Linked DNA regions of Arabidopsis thaliana. The protein of the gene in region 3 interacts with the protein of the main gene of each other region in a pairwise test. Each region holds a gene or a part of one and is shown on either strand. Other genes may lie near its edges.

Evidence for each region. The genes of interacting proteins can lie anywhere in the genome.
Region 1: the proteins of AT2G22880 (region 3) and PDE337 interact in a two-hybrid assay, tested with the Arabidopsis thaliana proteins (one study listed by BioGRID).
Region 2: the proteins of AT2G22880 (region 3) and AT3G22160 interact in a two-hybrid assay, tested with the Arabidopsis thaliana proteins (one study listed by BioGRID).

The regions. Positions count from the first base shown.
Region 1 is NC_003070.9:25,658,426-25,666,275, reverse strand, and holds PDE337 (VQ motif-containing protein), read left to right. Parts: upstream 1-3,999; 5' UTR 4,000-4,096; coding exon 4,097-4,555; 3' UTR 4,556-4,789; downstream 4,790-7,850. Other genes in the region: AT1G68440 (uncharacterized protein), read right to left, coding at 7,241-7,850.
Region 2 is NC_003074.8:7,814,718-7,823,000, forward strand, and holds AT3G22160 (VQ motif-containing protein), read right to left. Parts: upstream 4,269-8,283; 5' UTR 4,010-4,268; coding exon 3,431-4,009; 3' UTR 3,062-3,430; downstream 1-3,061. Other genes in the region: AT3G22150 (Tetratricopeptide repeat (TPR)-like superfamily protein), read left to right, coding at 1-773; FHY3 (far-red elongated hypocotyls 3), read right to left, coding at 7,642-7,698, 7,784-7,828, 7,922-7,990, 8,087-8,155, 8,230-8,283. UniProt on the Arabidopsis thaliana protein: May function as positive regulator of plant growth.
Region 3 is NC_003071.7:9,736,548-9,744,187, reverse strand, and holds AT2G22880 (VQ motif-containing protein), read left to right. Parts: upstream 1-2,724; coding exon 2,725-3,069; downstream 3,070-7,640. Other genes in the region: AT2G22890 (Kua-ubiquitin conjugating enzyme hybrid localization domain-containing protein), read left to right, coding at 849-1,688; EMB2001 (P-loop containing nucleoside triphosphate hydrolases superfamily protein), read right to left, coding at 3,267-3,476, 3,564-3,726, 4,090-4,159, 4,253-4,712; PSK2 (phytosulfokine 2 precursor), read right to left, coding at 6,111-6,251, 6,400-6,522.

The DNA of each region.
Region 1 (7,850 bases), on a different chromosome or scaffold from region 3:
TAATATACTTTAGAAAGCAGATAATGACATTATATTGTTGTTTTCTATAATTAAAGCACGTAGCGTATTGCAGTAATGGTTTGTATTGATATTACAGTTTGTGTCATAAACCGTTTTCAAACTTCAGTATGTAAATTTTTGGTAAAAGAAAATATTTCTTCTTATTTTTATTTTGTAGTAATTGAATTTATTTATTGGGTGGATGCATTGTCATTTCAAATGAATAAGCCAATTATCAAATCATGAAGTTTAGAGATTTATGAACTGGTTTACAAAAAAAAAAATATAAAAAAATAAGAGATTTATGAACTATCTTACCAATAAGAAAATGGCTACCACATTTGTTAAGAATATACCGAGAGGTTGTATGGGATGACAATATGAGATTAGCTAAGCACATTACTGGATGGATCAAAGTTTAGAATTGTTGTATTTTAATATGTCCATGGTTCTAAGGACTAGATCTATATGACACTACATATTAAGAAATACAACAAGAAATGTTTTTGAAGAAACAAGAAGAAGTAATATCTCTATAATTGAAATATATACGGTTTGATGACATCGAGTGGTTTTACCTGATGTCGCCATATTATTTCACAAATCCAATTTGAAATTAAAGGATGATTCTCTTTATCCCCAAATCGTCTAAATGCATGCAAAATGACAGCTTTGCATCGAATGAGAATATAATTTTATCAAACTCTGTAAGATTATTCGCTCTTTGTTACAATAAGGTCTACGATCAACGTACGGGATTCTTTGTACCTTTTTTCTATCAGTCTCGTGGCCTCTATTTTATATACAAATATTCTATGTACATTTCTGCATGTTTTATAAAGTCAAACTTAAAAAGTCAAAACACTTATGTCAAAGAAAGATAAACTAACTAAAAGTCAAACTTCTAACACATGCTATAACTAATGAATTTGTTGAAAACTAATTATGACATGCATGGTTTGGTTGTGACTAATGGTCGTTATGTTTAGTATTACACAAGGGTTTATCTTCATCCAAATATTAACAATACAAAGAAAATCATTCAATCCACTCATCAAGTTTTGTGTTCCATTTTGGTACTTAGTAATGGACTAAATGAAAAAAACAAAAATTGCTGAATTTAGAACCAAGATCAACAAAAATAGTTCGCATAGAGTAAAAACATATTCCACATATATTACTTTACAAATTTGAAACCAGTTGAAAGACTATTTATGTTGATCAAATTTTTTATCCACATTTTTTGCTTCATGATTATAACACCATATCAATAGGAATCACATTTCCAGTCTCTATTCCATCCCCATCATATTTAAAGGAAGACTTCCAATCCAATCCTGATAAGTATAGATCAGGCAAACTGATTGTGTTTCAGACTAGTGTGGATATCGAATCCGTACTTAATAATCTATAAATTTTTGGTCTCGTAATACAAATTATATATTGAATCGCAGAGCAGTAATAAATAGCAAATAGTTTTTTTTGTATTGATCGTAATAGTATGTTTTTACTACAACAATAGTCCATCTCCTTTACAATTCATCAGCTCCTCTATTTATAACACTCCTGAAAATCATTTAAGGTAAAATGTTAATGTAGTATGCGCCACATATCACTTTTTAAAGTGTTTACAAGATTAGACATTTTTTACTTTGAATTATCGAATTTAGTTTATCTTTCTCAACCTAGCAAAAATTCAAGTTTAAATACAAAAATAAGTATCAATCAAAAATTCGTCAAGATGTGTGGATGTTGAGTATAGTTTAATTTGTAGTAGAAAAGTGGGAAATAAAAAGAAGACAAGTGAACTAAAATTTCCGACCCAAAAACAATGTATCCATTAAGCTTAGTTTAATGAAAACCATTTACACGCATTTGTATAACGTGAAACAAGAAACTGACATGCGTGATCATATGTTTATATTAGGAAAATGCTGTTGCTTGAAGCAAGTAAAAACTGTTTTAGAAATAAGTTAATTTTAAAGCATATTAAAATAACAAAGAAATGTACGTACAAACGTAAGGGACAACGAACAGACAAAAAAAACAAACAGTAGATGGGAGAGATCCGAGGTGTGTAAGAAATATTGAAATAAAGGCCAAATTTTATTGAAAATTGAATCGGTCCTTCAAGTAGTAGTATTAATTTATTTGAGTTTTTCTTTCCCGACGCATAATAATTTGGTTCCATTAAATATGACAGTGCCTAAACAATAACAATAGGCAGAGTTAGATCCAAATGTTAGCTACATGATGCAATAGTACGCGTGCGGTGGTGTGTTTACGCGTGATCCTATAATCTCGAGGTCTCAGCTTTTCCAATTTAAAATTCTATATAAGTTTTGGCTTGTGACTTGTTGCTCGGGCTTTCATCCGTACAAATGTGTTTACTTCATCTTACCTGATGATATTTGGGCTCATTTTTGGGCTTACCAGGATTACTGATAGCATCTGGACCAGATTTTTTCTTTCTTTCTTAATTTCTAGTTAGAACCCATAAGGAAATATTTGTGTGTTACAAGCTAACATGTGGTGTTGCACAAGATTTTGTTGGTGCATATTGTGCATCAAATGGAGATTCTAGTTAAAACTCACTAGAAAAATTGAATGAAAACTGCTAAAAAAAACGAAAAAAAAAAAAAAATTACAATCTAAGCTAAGGAAAAAGGACTACAAGAGTGGTTTTGGGGTTGGATTAAGTTTTTTATTTGTTTTCGATTCTCTGGGTATGGTAAGCCCTTTGAATAAGATGATAAGTGTGAGTTATATCATGCTGGTGAAAGTATATTATAATCTATGTATGTACCAACTAGTAGTTGCTAATAGGTCTTTAACGGATCGATGAGGACAAAGAGGCTGACTTTGTAAGTCTTGTGACTCTTGTTATTTCACAAAACTATTTTGGTTTAACAACATTGATACAAAACAAAAACAAAAAAACTATTTTGGTTTAGTAATGGAAAGTTTAATATGTACAAAAAGGCTTTTGACTTTTGATAAACAATAAGTGTTTTACAAGTTGTGTTCGATTTCTCATCGGACATGGAGTATTATAGTTAATTAAGCGGACAAAAAAACAAATATATTTTGTATACTTGTAGTTAGGAAACTGTGTTAAATAGCCCGAGCTACTTGTTAGTTGTTGCAATCATTGAACGTATCGATGATTGTTAGCCGAAACTCGTACATCTTTTTTTCTCGAAGAAAAGAAGTTTCATACATTTTTTCATTACAGAACATTTATCTTCTTTTCAAGCAAAAATTCAGAGTAGGAGGATATTGATATTCACATACAAGAAGCTCAATTAGCCGATTCTGTCTAAAAATAGGTACGTAAGATTTTAAATTGCCCAATTGCAAAAGAAATATCGTCTGTTGTTTATTTATTTCAACAGGGTGAATTAATGTATATATACAAGAAAACAATGTCCATGATATAATTTATAATACCCAGCAATTTGGGGATAACAAATAGATTAATGGTTTCAGCTGCCTGTAAGTAGGTTTAATTATTTATTTTATACTTTTAAAAGCCGATAGTTTTGAACATTTTCATAAATTTCTTATTACGTAAAAGGAGAGAAGTAAATCCATTTCAACCATCTGCAGCCAACCTTGCATGGTCACAGCCAGTAATATTCAAAGATGACCAAATATGAAGACATCTCCACCAAAATAATATTGCAATTTATTTCTGAAATAACTAAAATCGCTTGAACTATATTTTAAATTTTTGAAGAAGTGGAAAAGTTGCAAAGGGGAATGCTTGCAATTTCATATAAAAAAAGAGCAATTCAAGATTTTCGGCCCTTGAGTTTTTGATGTGTTAGAAATTAATAATCAACAGGATATACCTGAGGCATGTTATAATACTATTCAACGACAACGGCCGTTTTACTATAAAACTGTAATCGTAAATAAATAAAGTCAACGGTCAGAATCGTTGGCTGCAATAAAATACGATTTATTTAGTTTTAACCATACTTACACGCAAATGTAATTCTACATATATACGTATTATATCAACAAGAACTCTGTTTATTTTCAAAGCTTTCTTGATCTTTCATTCTCCATTCTCTTGATATATTCACCTACCATGATTCCAACAAGATGCAATGAGATCAACGGCTCACGTCCTTCGTCGCTAAAACTCGCCGGAGAATCCCACACCATCAAGAAAACGTCGTCTTGCAAGTCGAAGCCACGACCACATGGACGGGCATCTCCGGTTATCATCTACGCGCATTCTCCAAAAGTGATCCACACGCGTGCCGAAGACTTCATGGCCCTGGTTCAAAGGCTGACGGGTCTAGACGAGATTATTAGACGGAACACTAGTGAATCTTCCTCTTCTGTTGTGACGGAAGAGGTTAACGTCGGGGATGATAACACGGCGGCTCCGTTTAGTCAGGATAGAACACAACGACAGAAGTTAACTGATATGCCGTTGTTCACACCGAGCTCGATGACCTTGTTTGGTTCTCCAACTCAACTTATGTATATGTCACCGAACCGGACCGATTCATTTCGACCCTTGGTTTTTAAGTCCGAATAAGACTTCTTAGCAAAAAAAAAAAAAAGTTCCAATAAGACTTCCCATAAAATATGCTTTTATGATTTCTATTTTATATGTATACAATTGGTTTGTTCATTCGTTCGTTCATAAGTTGTTTCACTGTGATTAGTTGGTGTAAATGTCACTTAACTTTACAAACTAAAAACAATGTCACTTAATATCTGTATTTGGTTGTTTTAAACATGAAAGTTAAGGGTTTACCTGTTCTTTTTACATAAATTATTCCATAAATCTCAGCGACAACGTGTGGGCTTCAACAAAATATTTGAAGACCAGAAATGCATTATTGGGCTTCGCATTAAAATGAGCTTCAAGCTCATCTTAGAAAGTTTTTCTAATGACGGTCTATGTGCCATCTTAACAATTCTTTGAGGAAGTTTTATAACTAGAAAAAATGTAAAACTGAAGGTGGAGATGAGTATTAGTTATTTTTATTGATTTCTAGTAGCCTCCCCAAAGTAAAACAGTAGTAGAAATTTTGGAAACATTAAAACCAAGTAGAAAAAACTGGAAACTAATGGCATACAATTAAATAAATTGTGTTTTATTTTGTTAAGTGTAGCATGTTCACCTCAACAAATTGATAGTTCATCTGAAACTGAGACCATCAGGAGAGGCTAAAAAAAGAGTCCTTTTCTTGATATAATTTTGTTATAGACCTTTAGGGCCCTCTTCCTGAGCCCAAATAACTTATTAAAACATATTTATCTCTATATTTGTCATATATAGATCCTAGGCCCGTTATCAACATGCCATGTTGACAAAAAAAAAAAAAAAAAATCATTCATGCCACTATGTTTTTTCCCCCCACTATGTAATCATGATATTGATTTCCTCATCTACTTACAATTCTTGTATTTGTTTTCTTTTTTGTTAGTCCACAAATCTACATCTACTTTTCGAAGTGACACTCCAATAAATAATTACATTCTCTTTTCAAATCTTCAATGAATATTGACTCTAAACTGCATGGTGTACCTACATGCAATATTCCAAAAATGAAAGAAGTATTATGAAGAAAGAGCCATTGGAAATTTCATGAAAGAAGTATTTAACTTGGTCAACTAGTTGGCCATCTAAATTGGGTAATCTCATGGGTTACAAAAATGTTTCATGTTTCATATCAATTAAAATTGGAAGCATTTTTGTTTAGAGGTTGAGAATTTTTTTTATTGTTTTTACCTTTTAATGTTAAGTTTTCTAAAACAGTATAGTTTTAAATTGGTCCGACTACCCAGTCCGATACAGTTTTTAAATTGGTCCGACTAGCCAGTCCGATACAGTTTTTAAATCATTGTTGTAAAGCAAAAAACATTATGCCATCTTAACTCGAAATCACTTTTCCAAACAACCCGGTTCACTTACTTCCATAGAACACGAAACATACGAATATCTTTCATAATTCAAAAAGCAGTCGGGTGTAAAATGTAAAACTAACTTTCCCTGGAAACAGAAATCACATTTGTTTGGGAAGTCTGTCAGTTGGGCTTTGGCCCAATTGGTTTACCTGGTAGTCAGAAATGCAGGCGGCCTGACTACCCCCTGGCATTAGTCGGAAATCATCCAAACTCGGGATAGACAGTGTGGTGGTCCTTCGGGGAGAAGTCCACTTTGAAGTACTTTGGTGCGTTTCTACCGGGGCTAACCGGATCAGCCGATAGGGTTTATCAAAAAAAAAAAAAAAAAAAAAAAGTTGTAAAACTAAAGCTTTTTTTTTGTTAATTATATGCTTGAAGAGAATTGTTTGCGTGCAAATGTGAACCACACGAATAAAGAAACGTGGCTCCCAAAACGTCTCGCACATCCTTAGCTTTTCACTTCCCTATAATGTGTTTCGATCAACACGTTTCTGTCTTCTATACGAATAATTAATTGTCGTGTAATTTGATGATTTGAGTAAATTAATCATATTGAAATATACGATAATAACAATAATACATATGTGTTCAATTAAAATCAGATCAATTATTTAACTTTTTTTGAAGAGTTTTTTCTTGTTCGGGCAGAAAAAAAAAACTCATCTGCATGAACGGGCACTACTCGGGTTACTCCACCGTAGGTATGAAAGTTCTGGTTGATCGATTCAGGCATGAAATTCCCCGGAATAACTATCTGATCTGTATTGTGACATCTACACCAAGAAGATTATGATGAAAGAAATGTTTGGCCTATTTTTAAAAATAAAGTCGGATTGGTTAATCTTTTTTTTTTTTTTGGGTTTTAATGTTATGGTTATCTTTTCAAGTTTCTATTATGTTAGTATAATATATATCCTGAATTATCTTCAATATTATATTTGTTCTTTTTGTGATTTCTGACTTTCTGTCATATTTTAATCACATCACTTAATTCCAAACCTATTAGAAAACTCGTAACCAGCCACATTGGGTAGTGGCTTCACTTCACATGGAGCCAGAGAACAAGTGAACTAGTAACCGACCAAACACACAAACACTTTTATTAATCTGACGCTGATTTTTATTCAATCAAAACTAAAATTTTAAAATAAAAATCGCAGAGAAGCAAACAGACAAATTATTTACAAAACGTTGCGTCGTTCTCATTAATCTTTAACACTTCTTTTTGGCGTTGAATCTTTCGTCCGTCCTCTTAACTTTAAGACAAAACCGTCCCAACCAATATTTTCTCTCGTCAAGGATTCCATCAGCCCGAGATAAGGACGTCAGCGTCCCACCAAGTCTCAGCCTCACATTCCGTCAAGTCCGTCAACACACCGTTAAACTTCCTCAAATCTCCCACGGCTATCTCTCCGCTAACATCATCCCTGACGTATACTTTCTCCACACCACCGGTATCAACTCCGATTATATTCCCTAACAACCGCCCCGGCTGCCTCCACTCCGCGAGCAAAGCCGGCATCCGAAAACCGGCGCGTGGATCACACGCCTTCACTTTAACGGCGTCAACACCTTTTTTCTCCGCCGCCCAAAAAAACGGTGACGAGGTTGAGTTATAGTTCTTGAGAAACGTTGCCACAACATTCTCATGATCATCGCCATCGATATCTAAATGATCCCAAAGCTTCACGACTCCACTCGAACCAATCCCACCAAGATCAGGCCATGAGAACAAATCTCCAAAACTACCACTATATCGCCTCCCCATCCATGTGCAATTACCATTGTCTCCCTGATCATCATCATCATCGTAATAATCAGATCCTCTAACGCGGAAACCTCCGTTGACTCGTCTTCGATTAAAGATCGAGTCAACATCCTCATCTTCATCATCAGCCTCATCTTCTTCGTCTTTT
Region 2 (8,283 bases), on a different chromosome or scaffold from region 3:
ATATGTATTCAAAGGCAGGAGCAATAAAGTATGCAGAAGACATGTTTTCTCAAACGAAAGAGAGAAATTCTGTGACATACACCACGATGATACTGGGGTATGGCCAACATGGAATGGGCGAGAGAGCTATCTCGCTGTTTCTCTCAATGCAAGAGTCGGGAATCAAACCCGATGCTATAACCTTTGTTGCAGTGTTATCAGCTTGCAGCTATTCAGGTCTAATAGATGAAGGTCTCAAAATATTCGAGGAAATGAGAGAAGTTTATAACATTCAGCCTTCAAGTGAGCACTATTGCTGCATTACAGATATGTTGGGGAGAGTTGGGCGGGTGAATGAAGCCTACGAGTTTGTTAAAGGACTTGGTGAAGAAGGGAACATAGCTGAGCTATGGGGTTCACTACTCGGGTCTTGTAAACTACACGGTGAGCTTGAGCTTGCTGAAACTGTTTCGGAGAGGTTGGCTAAATTTGATAAAGGGAAGAACTTTTCCGGGTATGAGGTTTTGCTCTCGAATATGTATGCTGAGGAACAAAAATGGAAGAGCGTTGATAAGGTGAGGAGAGGAATGAGAGAAAAAGGTTTAAAGAAAGAAGTTGGTCGTAGTGGGATTGAAATTGCAGGTTACGTCAACTGTTTTGTGTCTAGAGATCAAGAGCATCCTCATTCTAGTGAGATTTATGATGTAATCGACGGTTTGGCTAAAGATATGAGAGGCGATTCGTTTCTGACAACATTGCCAACTGTTACTCCAAGTTTGGAATTGGATGAGTGAAGAGTGCCAGTAACTCTTTAGCTCTCACAGAACATGGAGATAAAAGCAAGAGGTGATTCAAGGCCTTAAAAAGTGAGTAAGCCTTCAAAAACTCTCATTTCTTTGCTTTCTGAAGCTTTTTTGTTGGTGACATAGAAGCAACTCTTTATGGTGATAAACACTCTTGTTCATCATTGTCTTCAGTAATTGTTCTAACACCATTAGTCATGACTGGAATCGAAACTCGACCCGACAGGAGATGGAGATTTAAACCCATTGTGCAGTTTGGTCTTTGTATACACTATTACAAGCTAATCATAAAGAAGGCAGAGGAGAAACTGGAAACAAAGAAATGTAGATAAACCAACATCATTGTAGTTTCCTTGCTCTCATCTTCACTCTAGGCATCTTCTCGTGTATACTTAAAGTTTTAAATATTATAATTATTTTCATTTTTTCATAATTTAAAATCTTTAAACAAATGATGAATGGAATTGGATTTTTATTTTTTGTACAAAACAAAAATAAATTTATATAACAAAATCATTGCCTAATTATATAAAAAGTGATTATAAACAGCAAAATTATTGCCTAATTAAATAAAGAAAATTAAAAATAATGGCCTAATTTAAACATAGAGTTTTTACAATTTTATTTTATTTATATACACATTTTAATGTGGTGGAAGAGCCTATATTTTGATTTACACATGTGATTTATAGTCAAATACCAAATGAGGAGTTTGAAAATTACATGACCATCTAAAAACTAGAGTACAACCACTAGTCCACCACTACATAAACTTATAAGAAATATCTATATACAAAAGTACATGCATTTTTGATACAACTACTCTAAAAACTGGTAGTTGAAAGAATTTTAGAAAGTTCAATTCAAACCAACAATGTGTTTCCAATCACTTGCTAGTCTAATTGTTAAACAGGTATTTTAAAGCTTTTCAATATAATTTTCATAAGTTAATTTTACATGATACATAAACATTATAATTTATCAAAATATTAGTATTACTGAACTTGAATGAACTTTATATTTCTGTACATATTGTTTTTTACTAATTTATTAAATTTAATTTTTTTTTTTGCTAATAATGTAAATATTCATTGATGATGAAATTAGAAAATTAATTCATTTTGTAGAATACATGAACTCATTTGAAACATGAACATTACTGATGTGGAGTAGTGATATATAATTTAGTTACAACATACGAATCTTTAAAGATAAAGATTCTTAGTCTTTAAAAATGTTTTGTAAGTGGTTATTGAACTCAAAATGTAAACTTAAGAAATGCAAAATAAAGTGAAATTTCACTGTAAGGGGGTATATATATAGGACCCACAATGTGTTGAGATTCATCCCCTCTTCCCAATCCATTTCTTACTCATTTTTTGTCATATTGTCAATTTATTATTCCTTTATATTATTTATATCTTTATCATCTACAAGAAACACGACTACGGCATGCTAAATTATTCTCTTTCGTTTAATTTGTGGACTTATCGTAAGAATCTAAAATCTAAAGACAAATGCCAAAGAAAAAAAAAAAAAAATCTAAAGACATATACTCATAAGTTATCCATTGTGAATGCGAGGCTTTGGTTTATTTGCCAAACTCTATATTACATCGATCGATTTTACGTCAAAGACCCGTCTCAGTCTAAATCATAAATACAAATTACAATCATAATCAATATTAGGTCGAGGGATTTAAAGGAAAAGAAAAAAAACGATAACGTAAGAATCTAGACATGTTGGTAGCCTAACTTCACCAAAACACTATATATCTCCTTGTTTCCGAACGAAAGGCAAGTTTGGTTTTCTATATGATCCAATAGACTAATTTTCTCCATATTTTACTGTTAAAGATTATTCTGGTCCCTCAATATATTTTAGTAAGTTTCAGAATTTAAAGCCGAATAATTTGTGAAAAGGAAATGGCTAATCACTGTTTTTCTTTCGACAAGTCATATGAAAATATATTGTGCGGTGCCATGAGAAAAAGTTACATTATAAAGCTCGATATTCTCAATTATTGCACTAATTTGGTAAAGTTACATTCACATTAATTTCATGTATCTGAAACTATTCTATCCAATAAGAATACAAAACTTTGAGATAAGCTAATTGCCAATTTCCTCCATTTTATGCACGTTTTATATGCATTCTTTGACTAATGTATGAGAATTATATCTTTGCACATGCACTTGAGAACTTCACGTGAAAATGTTTGATTTCTTGTATATGTGATTGTGTTCTAGTTTTAATTGAACTTTAAGTCTAATAAATTATTAGAAGTATAAATTCCATCTAATCTATGAATAATAATTTATTTTCTTGAGATTAAAAAAATATAAGGATTTGTTTGGAAAACATTTTTATTTATTTTTCTAATCGACAATTTGCAGTTTGAAAATGCAAGCATGCAACTTCAGCATTGAATTATATGCCTATTTAGGTCCATGATAACGCCATAATTAAATAAAAAACTTATGCTAAAAACCTAAAACAAAGATAAAATCTCCAAATATGAAAGAAAAAAACTTAAATATACAAAAAGTCAAAGTTTTCATTCTATGACAAAGAAAGTCAGTACCTAACATTTCTGCCTTTATGCGAAAACCAAAAAAAAAAAATTCAAAAAGAATCCAATCGTTTTCTCATTGCAACCTCGAAGAAGAAGAATTACTATTCGTAGCCTCCTTTGACGACGGAGCAGAACCTCCTCCACCAGAACCATCCACCGTCCCAAACACACCGGAAACCATCGTATTAGGGTTGTTCATGTTACTATATCCAACCACGGGATTCACGTTGTTCAAAGAAAACATGTAAGGCCGTTGCGGTGGCTGAAGCGGCGCGTGAGGCTGGAAATTATATTGCCAAGGAGCTTGTTGAGAAGATCCAGCTGATGGATCCGACGATGAAGTGAGGCTAAAAGCAGAAGTAGTATTACCGGACCCGAAAGCCATAGCGGATGGACCGCCAGTGTATTGCTGAACCATGGCACGGAAGTTGGAAGTGTCGGTGTTGAGAAGCGTTGTTGGTGTTCTACGTGAGGCTCTGGACCTTCTACGTGTTGGCTTGGTTACACGGCCAGTTTCTGGACTCAGACGAGAGTCTATGGAGGTGGTATCACCGGCAGTGGTGGTTGTAACAGCGGTTGAAGCGGTGGTAGAAGTTGTGAAGAAGGTTTGGTTATTGTTGTAGAACTGAGACCACTCGTTGGGGTTAGCCATTTTTGTGTGTGTCTAAAGACAAGACTCCGTGAGATTGTAAGAAAGAAAAAAGCATTTGCCTTCGTTAGTTCTTTATATATTTATTTGATTGTGTTTTGATTAAGACTTAGTCAAAGGAAAGACTATTCTATATCAATCCTGACCGTTGATATTTAATTACACGTTGATTTTTTGGCTTTACATTTCATTCTTAATTGCCAAAAAAAAAAGGTTGTAACTATTTTACGTACTTTATTAATACAATGTTTAATTTGATTCGATAATATCATGATTTGGAAAATAATAAAATAATAGACCTCACGAAGTTACAATTAGTTGAGTCTTACCAATAAACTAGAGTTTAGTTTGGTATTGGCTACTTTCCCAACAAGTTGACGAAATTGGCCCATTTCACTGTATTTGTATGCTTTTGTTGAAATACTTAACAAGTCCCTCACTTTACATAATCGTCACAAAGCTGACGGCATATACATTTCTTAACGAAACGTTAAGATATTCATAATAACGTTGCTTCTTGCCTGCTTAGTGCTTAGTGTAGTAGCCGTTCTATATAGCACACTAGGTACTTAATATGCTTAGTGTAGTAGCCATATTATATGGCACGAATTAAATAACGACGGTCGTACGATAATAACGACATGACATTTGCTATATATTATACATGGGTATCATATTTAAATATCGACGTAAATAAAATATGATACACTCTCGGCTGTGATTGTATATATTGCGAACCAATATATCCGTTTCTTTGAAGATCGTTGCGACATGAACCAAAAGAAGATTGTGAAGGCAAATCTTTCTCTGCTTCCAAATATTGTTGATTACAACTTGTGGAACCACTTTCTTAAAAGAAGCAATTGGGAGATCTCTTTGTATTTGTCATTGTTCAAGCCGATTATTAAGGAATATTATCTATGTATGATCATAGATAGTCAAGACATTAGAAGGTCATTAACAAAAAGATTCAAGAGCTTGGTAGCTAGCTAAGAATAGTTGTAACCATATGATGTTAAGAAAAGTGTTTGTATTATCAAATTTCGTAGGAAATTCAAGATATGTCATGTGAAGTTTCTTATACCCTTGAGGGCTATTAATTAGTTAAGATAATGATTCTTTAAATCTAGTGTGGTTAATAAACTAAAGAAAGATTAGTTACTACTAGTATTTTCATAATGTGTATGTATCATTTACGTAATTTATTAAGAATGAGTGGACACAAATTAATTGACTGGTTAGGTGACTTTGGAATGAAAAGACGACCGAAAAGGAAACTAGTGAGAAATTTCAAAGAAAACCATAATCTGATTCTGACGTTGCGATGCGTAATAGGAACTACATCATCCTTCTCTTTCTTCTGTTTGTTACAAATTCTGCATCCATCAAATATATAATAGACATGTAAAGAGGGAGAGTACTTTCCATGGAAATTTTGTTATGAACTAAAACTTTGTAAAGTTTAGGGTGTATTGAAAAAATCGATACTTTTATAAACGAAATATAGGATAAGGATTAGTTTACGTTTATAAATTCGAGATAAGGGATTTAATTTTATTCTTACACTAATAAAAGCGGTTTTGTGGTAGAGAAAAAAATCTAAAAAAAAGGTTGTGTAGTATAGAAAAAGAACATTAATTTTGTTTTTTTTTCTCTACCACACAACCCCTTTTATTAGTGTAAGAATAAGATTAAATTTTTTATTTTAGAATTTATAAACATAAACTATTCCTTATTTTATATTTCGTTTTTAAACGAAATCTCTTTATTCACATTAAATATAAGAGTTGTGTGCATTGTTTTCCTAGGGATTCATAAAACAACAACCTAAGAAAGGGATTTCGTTTGACAGACATTTGATAATGTCTATGTATGAATAAAATATGAGGTGTTTTGTTGGATCAATTATGGGATTGACACAAAAAACTTTATCCTATTGTTGGATGCGGCATTTTTTAAAGTGATTACAAGATTGAGTACTTTATTTCCTTTTGATTATCTATTTTACCTTTTTCAATTTAGCAAGTAGCAATATGCACTTTTAATTTGCAAACTGAATCTAGATCGCAAATTTGTCATCCGAGAGGAATGCATATTTGATTTTCGATCTGAAGATTGCCCACCAAAAACACCAATTAGATGATATTTACAGAAGAATCGAGATTCTTTTAGTTAATTTAGGATTGTTTAAAAAAAAATATGCATGTATGCACAATACCAAAACCGAAAATTCCCTTATAAATCCGTGAAATTTGTTGTTTGGGTTCTCTATATACTATCACCTTAGGGTTTAATTTTCGTGATTAAAAACGATTGAAATTTTCTGGAAAAATAAAGGAAGAAAATCAACAAAGAGAAGAAGAAACGAAGATGAACAACGAAGAAGAAGAACAGACAGAGGCAAAATAGTCCATTTATATATCAGCAAGTACCCATTTTCGTAAGCCAATTAAAAATGTTCCTTTTTTCTAATTTTTGGGCTAAAAAGTACCCAAATTAACAAAAGCCCCGTGTTTTGTTATTTACCAAAACATCTCAGATTTTAAGTACATTTTAATTAAGGGTTTATGAGTACAATTGTACGATCTTTAAGGATTTAGAGTATAGACTTTCTTTTTTTAACTTAAGGCAGCAAAACGTGTCATATCGGACCTAATGTATCGAATGTTTGTGAAGTGTTTAAAAAAAAAAAAAACACTATGTTTGAATGTAGGGAATGACCTAGAAATTAGAATAAGTTTTTACATGTGACCAGAATTTTTTTGGAACAATAAACGAAAAATGAGTCTCAATTGCAAGAGAGTCTTGCTTGATATGTAAGAAAAAAAGCATTTTCCTTAGGCCACTAAAAAATAATCAAATAAAACGCCACATTTTTTTTCTACATATATCACATTTTTAATGTGTTTTAGGACTTTATTTTGAAAACAAAATTCATCTCTTTAACATTTATAGAAATTTTTGTTTGTTTTTTTACATTAAATTACTAAATCGTATTTATTCATTAATGTTTTTTTTAATAACAGTATTTAAATAATTTCTTCTATACAAAATAGAATGTTAGGCCACATTTTAATAATTTGCCTAAAAGCTCTATTTGCCAAAAGAAGAGAAAAATTGTTTATGATTACTCAAAAATAATAATAATAAATTTATGATCCTTCTCTGATTTTAAAGAATTTTATATTTATACTATGTAACCCTCTCTCCTCTCTTCAACAAGATTCAAACCGCCAATAGCATACCACAATTTTGTTTGTAATTTGGGCAAGATTAATCACAAGATACAAATTTGAGAAACCTAATCAAGAGAATTAACAAGAGTTTACAAATAGAGAATATTCTTGTAACACTGTTTCTTCACCTCTTAAATCGAACAGTCAAATGATCAAACATATGATCATCAGAACTAATACAAACAATATTAACAGAATCGAATCTCTGAGAATAAAGGCGAAACAATACAACATCCTATTTTTAACACTTGAGAAGATAAAACAGAGCTTTGGCTCATGTTCTGTTCCAAACCTAACCGCGTCCTAGTGCTCGTTGGCTTTTGTTCTCCGAGATTTGAATCTTTCATCCACAGACTGACGACTCTTAAGATTTGATTCGTGGTTAACTTATAGTTTTGTTTACGAGTGTCTAGACGCGTCCTCATGCAACTGCGTAGTCCTCACATTAGGATCATCCTGCACAGAAATCACCATGAACTAAGATGACCAATTGATACAAACAGGAAAAAGAAAGATCTTTTATTACAACTGCAATAGTTACCCGGATGTCGTAAGAAAAATTGGCAGGCCTGAAGAAATCTACTCCCTAGAAAGAACAAAGTAAGATTTTACTTTTTTGGCAGTCTTGTTACAAGATTGACAAAACTTATGAAAGCATTGAGAATAGGTATGTAGGTACCTGTCCATGGATGCCTTGCTGAGGACCGTAGTAACTGTCGTAGCTTGGTGCTATCGAGTTCAACTGTCGCTACAGAAAACCAGCCGGAATTGTTTTTTTATCCAAAGTTAATGAAATAGAAAACAGCAGAAGCTACTTATACACATGTCATGGTCGATTTCATACCAATCCTTGCATTGTTTGTTGATTCCCATAGAAATTATCGCGAGTTGGCCCCATTAAGTTCAGCTGGACCTGTAAAAACACATATCAAAACAGATTACATACGTATCTAGATAATAATATGAACGTATGTTGTGCTTAATTACCATTCCTTGTACGCTCTGCTGTGTTCCATAATAGCTTTCAATGCCAACCGTCCT
Region 3 (7,640 bases):
AGTAAACAATAATTAGAGGTAATTTTAAGAATTTGTTTTTTCCATAGTAATTTATGCTGAGTGAGATTGGTGATTGGACATATTATTGTGGTTCACGAACTAAGTGTTGTGGAAACAAGTAGAGTAGTCACCGTAAGTACTTGTTGAACACATCTCTCACAATTTCTCCAATTATATGGGAAACATTTATGTTTGTAATGAAATATGTCATATGAGTTATACACGAACCTCTTTTGTGTTTGTAATCTTCTATTTTATGGTTTGTAATAAAACGCCTTTGGTGGCACTTGAACTTATTTATGGGATTCTTGGAAAATGCATTTAAAATCTTCTTCCTAATCAAAACCAGAGATAATGTATTGGATTAGCTTGTCATCCTAATATGTGTGTGTGTGGTTATGAAGAACTCTATATGCTTTTGGTGATTTGGTTCCTTTGATGGTGGTTGATATTTCCTTGATTATATACCCAATTCATATCTCTAAACCAAGTGAATATTTTATTTTTGTTTTAACGCATCTCCAAGTAAATGTTTTTTTATTCCTAAAGTTTTCTCTAAAGAAAAAATAAATATATATAGAAATCTGTATTAACGAGTAATTTTGGGTTTAATAATACTTTTTAATGTTAGGTTTTAGTTGGTAACTTCATAAATTAATCCAAATTTTTTGAGATTTTCTTTGAATGTTATTATCTCAATACTCTCTTACTTTCTTTGGTCAAAATTATCTCTTTTAAATGATTTTTTTATCCTGTCACAAAAAAAAACATATCCTTGTTTTATTTAGCTTTGGAAAAAAAAACAAGAAACTTGATATATCTTTTCAGACATCACATACTCTGCTTCAATGGCTACATCTCTTCAAACCAAATACACTCTAAATCCCATCACAAACAACATCCCAAGAAGCCACCGTCCATCGTTTCTCCGTGTCACTTCCACCACCAACTCTCAGCCTAACCATGAGATGAAGCTTGTTGTTGAGCAACGACTTGTGAATCCTCCTCTCTCCAACGACCCAACTCTACAATCTACATGGACTCACCGGTTATGGGTTGCAGCTGGCTGCACCACCGTGTTTGTCTCTTTTTCCAAATCAATCATTGGAGCATTTGGTTCTCATCTCTGGCTCGAACCATCTTTAGCCGGTTTCGCCGGGTATATCTTAGCAGATCTAGGTTCTGGTGTGTACCACTGGGCCACCGATAACTACGGTGATGAGTCTACGCCTCTAGTAGGAATCCATATCGAAGACTCTCAAGATCATCACAAGTGTCCATGGACAATCACCAAACGGCAATTTGCAAACAATCTACATTTTATGGCTCGAGGCACAACCTTGATAGTTCTCCCACTAGACCTTGCTTTTGATGACCATGTGGTTCATGGCTTTGTAAGCATGTTTGCATTTTGTGTATTGTTTTGTCAGTTGTTCCATGCTTGGGCTCATGGAACGAAGAGCAAGCTTCCACCTCTTGTGGTTGGGTTGCAAGACATTGGGCTTCTTGTTTCACGGATACATCACATGAATCATCACCGAGCACCGTATAACAACAATTACTGCGTAGTGAGTGGGGTGTGGAACAAGGTTTTGGATGAAAGCAATGTCTTTAAGGCAATGGAGATGGTGTTGTATATCCAACTTGGGGTGAGACCGAGGTCATGGACCGAGCCAAACTACGAATGACGGAAGAAACCGACATATCCAAATGTTAGCCGTCACTTTTAGCTATATTCTTCGCTTTAAGTGGGAAAAACTCGATTTTTTAGCCGCGGCTTCGAGATTAATTTATATTTAGTTTAAGATATAATATGTCAAAAACCAAATGTTTTCTTTTACTTAAAAACATGTAGATCACAATTGTGATAGATTTGATAAGTTTAATATATCATTTTTGGGTAAATGTAACAATTTCTAAAATGTTTGCATTGTATGGAAAGTGATATTCAAGGTTTGTAGATAGGATATCTTTCTCCGTTATACATATTTTTTTTTTCTATGCGGATAATTGAGTCTCATCACTTATCGAGATATCTCTTTACATTATTGCTTTTACTCTGACACTCGGAAGCAAAAGTTTTGTTTGCTTGTTATATTGTGTAGTTGTGGACCTAAACAGTTTTCAGGATCCTAACGGAAGGTAACTAATTAAGGCACAACCTTATTTCATACCACCCAACCAAAGTTCAAATGTTTAATTTATATCTAATAATTTCTTATGCGTTAATATATACTTAATCTTTTAAATAAAATTAAATTACATACCTAATTTATCAAATTATATGCAAAATTATATATTCTGCTGACGTTAGATACCACATATTTGATGATAATGATGACATGAATGCCATGTTACTAATGACACCGTTGCCATGTCATCTAGATTATTTTTTAACAAAAACTACGTTAATCCAAAAATGTACTCATTGCTTTTCACCTAACATTTAAATAAACAAGAAAATAAAAATAGTTAGCACACCCACGTTGACATTTCAATTCCATGAATCATCCCATCTCGTTCCCATTCATTTCACTTAAAAGTCAAAAACCAAGTAAGCCGCAAAAGAAGATCATAAAACCCAAAATGACTTACACGCTTCAAAACGTTGACATAATAATGCCGTCCACACACTTATAAATACTTATATGTGTACACACAAAGCCATCAAGGTAAGACACTTCGCTTCAAATCATTTGTGTATTACAGAAACTTCTGATCGTCATGGAAGCTACTTCACAACCATGTTTCTCTCATAACTCCTCACTTCATTCGACCCGTAAGCAACCGGCAAAGCCATGGAAAAAACCCGTAACGGGCTTGCCTCAGAGGATGCATCCTAAAGTTTACAGAGTCGAGCCTGTTAACTTCAAGGAGTTAGTTCAGAGGCTAACTGGTGCAGAAGACGTTGAGCAAGAGGTACATCAAGTTGAAGCTAAACCAGTCAAGATTTCTGATGATACAACAACAGCTAAGGATAATCCGTTCGCGTTTGATCTTTCACCTTCGTCATCTCGGTTCTGGGAAGCTTTCCCTCTGCTTAGTCCTGCTAATCTATCAAGATGGTAGCAAGAAAGAAGCTATTCTTGCCAATTTTTCGGCAATTCATGAATTTGTTTCATCAGAATTAGAACTGTAGTAGTAACACTTTATGATCTTATCTTTAAATACAAAAGTTACTGTTACATTACAAAACTACAATTTGATATAACCAATGATTCAAAACCGACCTTTTCGAACATTTGTTTACGAAATTTACGCGCTACCTATTGATCCCAGTAGTTTCTCAGCTGCGACATGTGAAGAAGAAGCTCGTCTCTGCCTAAACCAGATACACTACTCGTCAAAATCCAAGGAGGATGTACTTTAAAATTCTCTCTAATGATTTGTTGGAAAGCTTTAATGTTCTCATCAGGTCTTTTCCCTTTCGTTGCTTTCATTTTATCGCATTTCGTAAACACGAAAGTCATCGGTACCTGAAAAATCATCGAAAAACGTCATTTAACAAGTCCTCAAAGCAACATTTCACTGAACACACAAAAGCCAGAATTGGTACCACATACATTGTTGCGACCAAGCCAATTAGCACAATCAAGATCAATCTTCTGAGGAGGAACACTTGCATCGATGAGAAGTAGAACACAAACAAGACTGTCTCTATTCAAGAAGTAACCTTTAGTAAACGCAGACCAATCTGTTTTCGCAGCATCTGAAACTTTAGCAAATCTGCAAATATATTCTCAACATCAAACAATAATAACGTTTATCTGAAAGCAAGATATCAACAAATACATATCCAAATCCACTATGTATCAGTTCAAACCGAGTTAGCCAACTCAACCGGTTCGGTTCGGAACCACCTTACTAAATTTACCAAAACTTAATTCTAAGTTTAAGTAAAATTACTAATAGACTATACTAAACTGAAATTTTATCCAAATGTACCAGTTCAGAACTAAGCCAATCGAACTACCAAACCAAAAATACCGAACTCTTATCCTAAATTTTACCAAAATGAACTGAAATATACCAAATTTAGCCAAAGAAAACTGATTGTTTTATCCAAAAGCAAGAGATCAAAACACATACCCATAACCAGGCAAATCCACAATGTACCAACTCTTATTCACCAAGAAGTGATTTATAAGCTGAGTCTTCCCTGTTTCACCAAATAAAAATCCAAACTTTCAGATTTCCAAAACTTAAAAGGTTCGATTTTTATAACCAAATTGAAAGGAATAAAAACACAAACCAGGTTTCTTAGAAGTAAGAGCAACTTCTTTCTTACGAACCAAACAATTGATAAGCGAAGACTTGCCAACATTAGAACGACCCAAAATCGCAATCTCAGGACGATCATCTTTAGGACAATCTCTAGCACGAGCACTACTTTTAACAAATTCAACTTCTTTGATTTGTGAATGACCCGCAAAAGGTCCGATTACGATATTTGAACCCGGAAGAACCATATCATCTGTTAGTTCCTCAATCTCTACACCAGGAGGTATGAATAACACTGACTTAGCGAATTTAGTCGCGTCGGAGATCGACCGATTCGTTGTTGTTGTTGGATTGTTCGTGGAGGCTGAGATTTTTGGGATGGAGATGAAATTAGGGTTACGAAATGATTGGAGAGTGTGGAATTTTTGAGATTTGGGTATTAGAGGAGTGAGATTTATCGTTAAGGATCGATATCGGAGAAGTAGCACCATTTTGTTTTGTGTGTGTTTTGGGTTTAGAACGAAGAAGATAGGGTTTTTAGAGTTTTAGACCAGAGTCGTTCCTTCTGCTTCAGACGGAGGCTTTCATATGCTGACATTTTTTTTTGTGTCAACAATAATATAAAAACAACTAGATTTTAACTAATTTTGCAATCAAGAATGTCATAAGTTGTGTTACTTACATATGTTTTGATCTAGCGCAACTTTTGTACACATGTTGGAGTACCAAACAAAATTTTCATCAAAGATAATTTTAGAAAAAAGGTCTATTTTCTCATAAAAAGTATCAGTAGATAGAGCTCATATATTTTAACTCTAGTTCATATGTCTATAAAATAAAAGTTTTATCCTTATTTTCTCCGAAATGAAAGTTCTATAACTTAATGTACTTCGAGTAAATAGTTCGAGATCTATAACCCACATAGCTAGGTTTAATCAGTTTACTGTATACTTTACCCATTGATAAACCAATTAAACTTAATTATAACCAATAACTTTGCAAAAAAACTTATTATAAGTTTGGAACTTTGTCTATATCTAGAAGTTGAATGTGCACTTGTAGGAGATATTGTGTCTACCTTTGGTGTATATTTTAAGACAGATATAACAAAAATTTCTTATTACAATTAGAAAATTTTACAGAGCTGTTTAAATTTGATGCTCAATTTCTAATTAAACTAGTTTTTTCTATTACAATTACAAATGATTGTTGACTACTCTATTCCATGCGCAAGAGGTTTTTCCCTCCGTTCGATTGAAGTGGGAGCTTTTCAAAAATATTTAGCTTCGCTCTCGTAGTTAACAGCTGCATTATGACGGCAGAGTCTCTACACTCTTTCAGCATAAAGACATGACTACATTAGTGATGGCTAATTATCATATGATTGTATATTACGAGACCATATACACAATCAGTCTGAAAATATAAATTTGGTTCTTCAGATTCGATCAAACATATACAGTAGTACTTTTGTGTACACGACGATATATCGATCTTTGCTAGTTATATGAAATAAATGTTTAGCAGTCTCTCAACTAATCAAACAAGCCAACATGTATTTTCAATAAAAAAGATTCCATGAATCCACTCTCAATTTTATAGTTTATTTATAAATATACGCGTACTTCATGTGTGTGTGTGTTTTTAATGAGTTTTCAACACATATATGCAACAACACTATAAAGTTTTTATTGTCAAACTTCTTAAACATACAACGACACTATAAACTTTTTATTGTCAAACTTCTAGTTCTACAATATATCATCCAAAATACATATAAATAATCACAATCATAACTATCTTGATCTTGTATGTGACAAATACTAATTAAGGATGACATAAATTACATAATCTTGAGCAAAAGTTTGTTAGAAATGAGTAAGTGAAAATCAAGGATGCTTCTTCTTCTGGGTATAGATGTAATCAGTATGAGCGACCAAAGTCCTCCTCATTAAGCAATCTTCGTCGTCTGCACCACAGTTTTCGTCTACCATATGCATGTCATCTAATTTTCCTTCTATCTTCTTCTCCTGCCAAAGTAATCATCATACATTACAAAAAATTTATTAAACCTATTCGATGTGTTAAATATTTTTAAAAATTTAGAAGCTCTGATATTGGTTATTTTGTGTTTATATATGGAAATTGATTCATGCATGGCATGTGAATCAGACTAACCATGTTACATGGATCGGCAGCAGTCGTGATAGAGATGGAGATGGCCGGTTCGGGGCGGGCAGTGCACATTAGCGTGGAGCAAAGGAGAAGAGCTATGGTGAGCAAAGCGGAGACGTTTGCCATTTTTGTGATATTTTCTTTGAAGGGAGAGAGATGCTTAAAGAAGATGTGTTGACGGGTTTGGCTTCTTTGAAACTCAAATTTATTTATAGCCAAATTTTAGTCAAATCTATTTTTGTTTTGTTCATTTATTTAGTTATTATATAACCCAAAAAGTGGATCTTATCGCACGTTGATAACCTCGAATTTTCTATTTTATTTATGGGTATCTAATTGTGGAGTTTGGTGGACTCATTAGTCTCATTTGAATGACCGATTAAATCGGAAGTTGAATTTAATTAAATATTTGTTTGCACTTGTGCATAGTGTTTAGCGGTGGAATTGGACCAAACCCATAAGAAAAGTAAATCAAAATATAAGTCGCAGCGTGTATGAAACGTGGGATGATAGAGTGATAAATGATAATCACCATCCACTTCTTAAAAGCATTGATTCCATATTAATATATTCAAAAGTTCTATGGCGTCACCTACCTACATTAGCAAAATATCATTTGACATGATATATGCAAATATAAACACTATAGATTCCACACGAATGCAATGGATCTACCGTTATATATGGTGTAGTTGTAGTTGATACAACTGTCAATATGGTTAGTGGACGTCCCTACCCGATTAGTGTGACATGGTGTTCTTATCATCCGTTTGGAACGCACCAAATTTAAAAGCGTGTATTGGAGAGTATATTACAAGTCGGTGTGTGACTAATCATATATATAACCCAAACCGTGTCAAATAAATCGGGGGAAAAAAAAACTGTAATCATAAAGAAATTTATGTACAATTTAATATCAGACACAGAGACTAACTATACAAGTATTATACATTTCCAAAGTTTCGGTGTTGACGTATATATATAGTTCACGAGACTGGTTTAGCTTTGGTATACTTGTATAAACTACTACTCTATGTTCGCTAGGACATAGCCATGCATGTCTCGTTGCTTCTATAAATTAATGCACCAAACTTCATAAAAATAAAATAAAATAAGAAATTATTGATTGGTTTGTGAGTTAACTTGTTGGATTGGTTCAACTAGCAAAACTAATTGAGAAAAAATCAAAAGTCTTTTGTTGTGTTAAATTCTCCATTAATCTCACTCTTAAATGAATTTTCTCA